Linked DNA regions of Danio rerio. The protein of the gene in region 2 purifies or fractionates together with the protein of the main gene of each other region. This does not show direct contact. Links are inferred from orthologs where the notes say so. Each region holds a gene or a part of one and is shown on either strand. Other genes may lie near its edges.

Region 1 (3,749 bases), on a different chromosome or scaffold from region 2:
TAAGCTTCAGTAGGAGGACAGATGGTCTTACGTTTTCCTGAAAAATGCCTTGATAAAGTTTGGGATTAATTTTTCCAACACAGATGAAGAAAACGCACACACATACACAAACAATACTAAACTACTTCTAGGCTGTCTTGCTCTCCAGCAGGCATCTTATCAGGATAAATCCTGGAAGAAGATTCTGAGGAAAAAACTAACTTGACACACAGAAAAAGCAATGACACATCTGGTCATCATATAATCTAGGCCCTTAAACACAAATTCAACTTTTGATATTGGACAGATATCTGCAACTTTTGCAAAACACTGGCATATTAGCTTTCTTAATGTGCGCATCTCCCTTAAGTTAGGCCTATTATTAAAAAAAATATATATATATACACACACACACACACACACACACACACATATATATATATATATATATATATATATATATATATATATATATATATATATATATATATATATATATATATATATTTTTTTTTTTTTTTTTTTTATATATATTTATATACACACACACACACACACACACACACACAGTTGAAGTCAGAATTATTAGCCCCCTTTTGTTTTTTGTTTTTTTTTTTATATTTCCCAAATTATGTTTAACAGAGCAAGGAAATTTTCACAGTATGTCTGATAATATTATTTTCTTCTGGAGAAAGTCTTATTTGTTTCATTTCGGCTAGAATAAAAGCAGTTTTTAATTTTTTAAAAACAATTTTGGGAAAAAATTATTATCCCCTTTTAGCTAATTTGTTTTCTGATAGTCTACAGAACAAACCATCGATATACAATAACCTGCCTAATTACCCTAACCTGTCTAGTTCACCTTATTAACCTAGCCTTTAAATGTCACTTTAAGCTGTACAGAAGTGTTTTGAAAAATATCTAGTCAAATATTATTTACTGTCATCGTGACAAAGATGAAATAAATCAGTTTTTAGAAATAGGTTTCTAAAACTATTATGCTTAGAAATGTGCTGAAACAATCTTCCCTCCATTAAACAGAAATTGGGGAAAAAAAATAAACAGTGGCTCTAATAGGTCAGAGGGGCTAATTCTGACTACAACTGTGTCTGTGTGTATTTTGCCTATAGACCTACATAATCACTAATAATGTTCTCTTTAAACACTTAATAGGGGCAGAACACCCCATGACACGTTTTGTATCTTTGTTTCGTTGTGTAGGTTACACAAGTGTTTTTTTTTTTTTTTTTTTAATCAGATTTAAAAAAGAATTTTTTTATATATATTTTTTTTTACTGTTTTGCTATTTTCTTAAAAAGATAATACAGTATAGGCTATATAACTTATAGGATACTATTGTAAGAATATATGAGCAGTTGGTCTTCCAGGGGTCTTTTCTTTATACTTTTCAACTTTCCACATTTGTTGTTGTGCTCTACAATTTCATGTGTTTGTGGGTCAACCAGTTATTAAACCCAAAGGTTCACATCCTTTTTCAATCTAGGCCCTTAAACACAAAGTCAACTATATTAACATTCATAAAGTCATAAGAAAAGATATGTGTTGCTTCGTCCTGGAGCAGACATTCATCAGAAAATCCAATCCTTCACTATGTGTGTGTATATCACATAAACTTAATAAATGTATAAAATCAACACAAAACTTTTATTCTTTCCAAAAATTTGCCCTTTAATCTTTGCCCAGCACTAGTTTGTAGAAATATATTTAATTATATTACTGAGTCAAATTTTGATCATTGAATTCCAAATGAAAATTTCACTGTAGGCATAATTTACTAAATAAAATGGTACAGTAGGTACTGCTTTTCCTTGTCGTAAGTCCTTTAAATCCAACTTTATAAAAAATAAAAAACAGGTTTTCACGTGTTGCAAATATAACTTTATATGTATTAGTAATCATGCTGTATTTTATCTGTAAACCGAATAAAGGACTGCCATGGAGAAGAAACTTATTGGCTGTCCAGTATGCATTGAACATAAGAAGTACAGGAGGAATGCCTTGCTCTTCAATTTGGGTTTAGTCTGTGATGCCAGTACAAAAACATCTGCTTTAGAGCCCATTGTCAAAAAGCTGGCTGGATACCTCACGACTCTTGAGGTAAAAGTTAATTTAGTGTGTACACACACACACACACACACACACACACACAAGTATTCATGTTTTATATATTTATTAAACATATGATGAATTGTCCTTGATTAGCTTGAAAGTGGATTTATTTCAAATGAGGAGAGTAAGCAGAAGCTGTTGCCTATCATGTCCACACTTTTGGAGGATCTTAATATTACAGGAGCCTGCACCCTTCCTATTGGTATGTTTATTTATGAATCTCACTGCCCCCTATACATAAAAACAAATATACATAAAAAAAATACATTTCCTATGCGTTTATGAATCTTACTGGTTTTTATTGTTTTAATAATCCCCCTTTTTCCTCTCTCATGGCAGATGACTCCAACACCATCCACTTGAAGCTAATTGAACAAAGGAAAGACCCTTTGGTTGTTCAGGAGTATGATGTACCGGTATTTACCAAGAATAAGGACCACTTTATAAAGTCACAATGGGATCTTACCACACAACAGGTAAATAAAAAGTCCTTTCCTGTACTTTTATCATATCTAATTTCATTTCGGGTGGGGCAGTAGTAGTGCTGTCGCCTCACAGCAAGATGGTCGCTGGTTCGAGCCTCAGCTTGGTCAGTTGGCATTTCTGTGTGGAGTTTGCATGTTCTCCCTGCATTCGCGTGGGTTTCCTCTGGGTGCTCCGATTTCCCCCACAGTCCAAAGACATACAGTACAGGGGAATTGGGTAAGCTAAATTGTACATAGTGTATGAGTGTGTATGGATGTTGCCCAGAGATGGGTTGCGGCTGGAAGGGCATCTGCTGCGTGGAACATGTGCTTAGTAAGTTAGCGGTTCATTTTGCTGTGGCGACCACAGATTTATAAAAGGGACTAAGCCGAAAAGAAAATGAATGATTTCATTTCATTTAATAAAAATTATTAGACTGAATTAAAATCAAGCATTGCTGTTAAATCAATGACTTCTTCTTGCAAAAAAAAATTATAAAATCAAGAACATGCGATTTGTTGATTTAACTTTTATTTAATTGACAAAAGTACAAAGAAAAAAACTTCCAGTTTTTTCAGTGAGCAAAATATTTGTAATCTGGATTTAGATTGTTTTATATATATATATATATATATATATATATATATATATATATATATATATATATATATATATATATATATATATATATATATATGTGTGTGTGTGTGTGTGTGTATGTGTGTGTGTGTGTGTGTGTATATATATATGTTTGTGTGTGTGTGTGTGTATGTACTGTATATGTGTGTGTGTGTGTGTGTATATTAGGGGTGTCACGATTTCAATTTTTAATTGAAATCGATCGAAATTTATGCTCAATTTCGATTATCGAATCAAAAAATAGAATCGTCGATGCTGCCACGCCCCCATGTCACGTCAGCTTGGCTTGCCAAGCGGGAAAAAAACAGGCTTGTTGAAGTGCTTGTTCAACTGCAGAAGCAGGAGACCCGTCGACAGAACTTAAACCCTCTCCTCTTTCAATGAAGCCACCGGTGTGTAAGCATTTTGGATTTCCAGTGAGTTATGTTGACAACGTTCCTGTTGTTGACAAAAAAAAACACAGTTTTGCAAGCTCTGCTATGTACGTATTACGTACGGTTCGTCCGATAGACAACACCGGCATCGCGATCCTCCGC
Region 2 (3,749 bases):
AGAATAACTGACTCTAGCGTTGTCTCTCAGATAAACAAGTATGTTCACTTACAGTAGCATGTTTCTTAAATATCTGCAAACATGTTATCGTATTTTTATGCTTTAGAAGAGTCAAAATAGAAGGCAACCTCAGATGCTGAGGTTACTGGTAGTGGGCTGGTTATAGAGGCCACAACAAAACAAACATCCTGACATGGCACACACATACAGTATTCAAAGGAGAATAACTGACTCTAGCGTTGTCTCTCAGATAAACAAGTATGTTCACTTACAGTAGCATGTTTCTTAAATATCTGCAAACATGTTATCGTATTTTTATGCTTTAGAAGAGTCAAAATAGAAGGCAACCTCAGATGCTGAGGTTACTGGTAGTGGGCTGGTTATAGAGACCATAACTAAACAAACAAACATCCTGACACACATATTTAAAGGAGAATATCTGACTTTAGCGTTGTTTCTCAGATAAACAAGTATGTTCATTTGGCTTGTTTCCTAAATATCTGCAAACATATTTTGGTATTTTTATGGTTTAGAAGAGTCAAAAATGTAAATACAGCACAATTAAAGTCTCGTTCTTTATGTTTGAAGGTATTAAAGTGATGTTAGTGTGTTCCGTCAAACCTTTTGTTCATGTCGTGCTGCTCTTTTTCTCGTTCTCGCGGGTCTGTGTAAGTCTGGTTTGCATAGCGATAGTCATCCGGAGTAGATTCTCCCCATGAAGGAGGATGTTCTGACTCACGTCCACCTGAAAAAGGAAACAACAAACTCCAAATAATATCTACAACAACATTTAAAATAACATTTTTTAATAAATTACATTTTTAAAAAAGTAATAATAACAATAATAATCCTTCTTAATATTAATATTCTAATTATTTTTTGAAAATAATAGAACACTACTATTAAATACAATTAATACAAACAATCAGACCAACCAACTGATCAACTAATTAAATAATTAATGTAACTAAATAAATAATAAAATCTGAAATCTGAATTTTCTTAATCTTATTAATTGCAAACCAAATAACAATACAAATTATTATTTGACACAAATTTACAATAATTATTTTGTTATTTAACATAATTGTCAAATGTTTGCACATTTATAAATGCATTAGCTTACAGAAGTGTTTTTCTTATGTCATTAAATAATTAAAAACTGCTTACTAATCTTATTCATAGCAAACCAAATAACAATAGAAATTAATATTAATTATTATAAATTACACAATTACACAAAATAAATTATCAAATGTTTGCACAATTTTAAATGCATTAATTTAAATGACAGATGCACATATTCGTATATAATTAAATATTTAATGTAACATAGTAGTAATTAAATAAATTAATAATAAATAATAGATTGTCGTATAAAATTTCCTATTAATCTTATTAATTGCAAACCAAATAACAATATAAACTACTGTGAATTAATATTTATAATTAATTTGAATAATTACTTATGTTCGCACATTTATAAACGCATTATTTCACATGACATCCGCGAGTTTTCTTATGTCATTAAATACCTAAATATTATTATTATTTTTTTTTTTAGGTTTATTATACATTTTTTAAAATTATTATTTAGTAATGTTAATAATATTATTAATAAATACACAACAATTTACACAAAATAAATTATCAAATGTTTTGCAGATATATAAATGCATTACGTAACATGACAGACGCAATTTTTCATCAATTAACAATCACTAATCCAGCCCAATCTGTTGTTATAAAACCAAAGAAGAGGGTAAAAACCAAATCACACCACCACACAATAAAGATTTTGCTTTTTTCATAAACACTAAACTCTATGAATGAAATCTCACCTGTGTTCCAGGGAGTGTTTGCAGAGTCTGAGGTGCTTGAACACGATCCAGAAGTGACAGAACTGGAGGTGAAACTGGGCTAAAAGAGAATTCATTTATAAAGGCAAACATATAAACACAAACTCACGCTAATTTAAAAAAAGACACATTTACAGGGGGGCCTATAATACCCCTTGTTATAAGATGTAAAATAAATCTCTGATTGCCCTAGAGTGTCTTTGTAAAGTTTTAGCTCAAAATACCCCACAAATAATGTTTTATAGGTCTTTGAAAGGCGACATGGTGGCTCAGTGGTTAGCACTGTCGCCTCACAGCAAGCAGGTTGCTGGTTCGAGTCCCGGCTGGGCCAGTAGGCGTTTCTGTGTGTAATTTTCATGTTCTCCTCGTGTTGGCGTGGGTTTTCAACAGGTTCTCCGGTTTCCCCCACAGTGCATGCGCTATAGATGAATTGGATAAACATAATTGGCCTTAGTATATGTGAGTGAATGAGTGTGTATGGATGTTTCCCAGTACTGGGTTGCAGCCGGAAGGTCATCTGCTGTGTAAAACATATGCAGGATAAGTTGGTGGTTCATTCTGCTGTGGCGACCCCGATGAATAAAGGGACTAAGCCAAAGGAAAATGAATGAATTTTTTGAAACTTTATGTAGACTGTTAGAATAAAATAGAATTAATTGACTTTTACCATTAGAGGCTGGCTATATATTCACAAACTAATGTCACACAACTCTTTATAAATGTGAATTTAGCACAATAGGTCCCCTTTAAAGCAACTTTCAGCAGCCAAAAACACATTTCTTTTCATGCATTTGTAAATTCTAGGATTTGGTCAGTCTAATGTAAAGTCAAAATCCAAAAATACATCTTTAAGTGTGCATTTTGTTGCACTTCATCAGTTTGTCTGTAGATTTTGAATCTAGGGCCATATATACTTGCAACATAAAAGAAAGTTTTGCAAAACAAAAAATAAAGTATTGAGCAAAAAAATTGTCAAATAAAAATTAATTAAATAAATAAAAAAGGGAAAATTGAGTTGAGGAAAGAAAGAGTGCAAAGAAAGTTTTTTTTGCAAATTTTAAAAAATATACATATATTTGCGAATTTTTCCCCCAGTATTGCCTTTACAAAACCTTTCAATTCAAGTCAATTGCAACGCTCATTTTGATGTGCTTTTCAGTTTGCAATGCTGTTTTCTTTTTGCACTTTACATTTCTGTGGGTTTCAATTTCTGGCCCCGATTTGGCAAGGGGGCGGAGTCACAGGAACTGTGACTCACGCGTCCTCCGTACTTGCGGTCTTGAGTATTGGAACTGAACTTAGGCAGCTGATGATGACGTTGCACGAGAACACGAGGACGCAAGACCACTGAAGAACGCATATTGAGAAACAGCCAAAGAAATCAGCCATGAATCGCTGTCATGAATCTAATCGAGAATAAGTAAAATACCTGAATCTTTTGTTTTTGGGGGGGGGTGTTTAAATCGTCAAACAGTAAAGCTCGCAAATCAAAATGAGCGTTGTAATTGGCTTGAGAAGTTTTGCAAAGGCAATATTGGAAATGTTTTTTGGAAATATATGTATATTTAAAAAAAAATTGCTAATACACAGTTGAAGTCAGAAATATTAGCCCCCATTTGATTTTTTTTTTAATAAGATTTTTTTGCTTTTTTTAAATATTTTCTAAATGATGTTTAACAGAGCAAGGAAATTTTCACAGCATATTCGATAATATTTTTATTTCATGAGAAAGTCTTATTAGTTTTATTTCGACTAGAATAAAAGCAGTTTTAAATTTTTTAAACACCATTTTAGGGACAAAATTATTAGCCCATTTAAGCAATTTTTTTCCCACAGTCTACAGAACAAACCATCGTTATACAATAACTTGCCTAATTACTATAATCTGCC

What was found. The genes of interacting proteins can lie anywhere in the genome.
Region 1: the proteins of wdr59 (region 2) and nprl2 purify together in Homo sapiens (affinity purification with western blotting; 5 studies listed by BioGRID and IntAct, with this or other methods). This does not show direct contact. The link is inferred for Danio rerio from reciprocal best matches to the Homo sapiens genes WDR59 and NPRL2.

The regions. Positions count from the first base shown.
Region 1 is NC_133181.1:20,689,224-20,692,972, reverse strand, and holds part of nprl2 (GATOR1 complex protein NPRL2), read left to right. Parts: intron 1-1,928; coding exon 1,929-2,097; intron 2,098-2,202; coding exon 2,203-2,311; intron 2,312-2,448; coding exon 2,449-2,585; intron 2,586-3,749. UniProt on the Homo sapiens protein: Catalytic component of the GATOR1 complex, a multiprotein complex that functions as an inhibitor of the amino acid-sensing branch of the mTORC1 pathway.
Region 2 is NC_133193.1:7,060,695-7,064,443, reverse strand, and holds part of wdr59 (GATOR2 complex protein WDR59), read right to left. Parts: intron 1,921-3,749; coding exon 1,842-1,920; intron 746-1,841; coding exon 622-745; intron 1-621. UniProt on the Homo sapiens protein: As a component of the GATOR2 complex, functions as an activator of the amino acid-sensing branch of the mTORC1 signaling pathway. The GATOR2 complex indirectly activates mTORC1 through the inhibition of the GATOR1 subcomplex.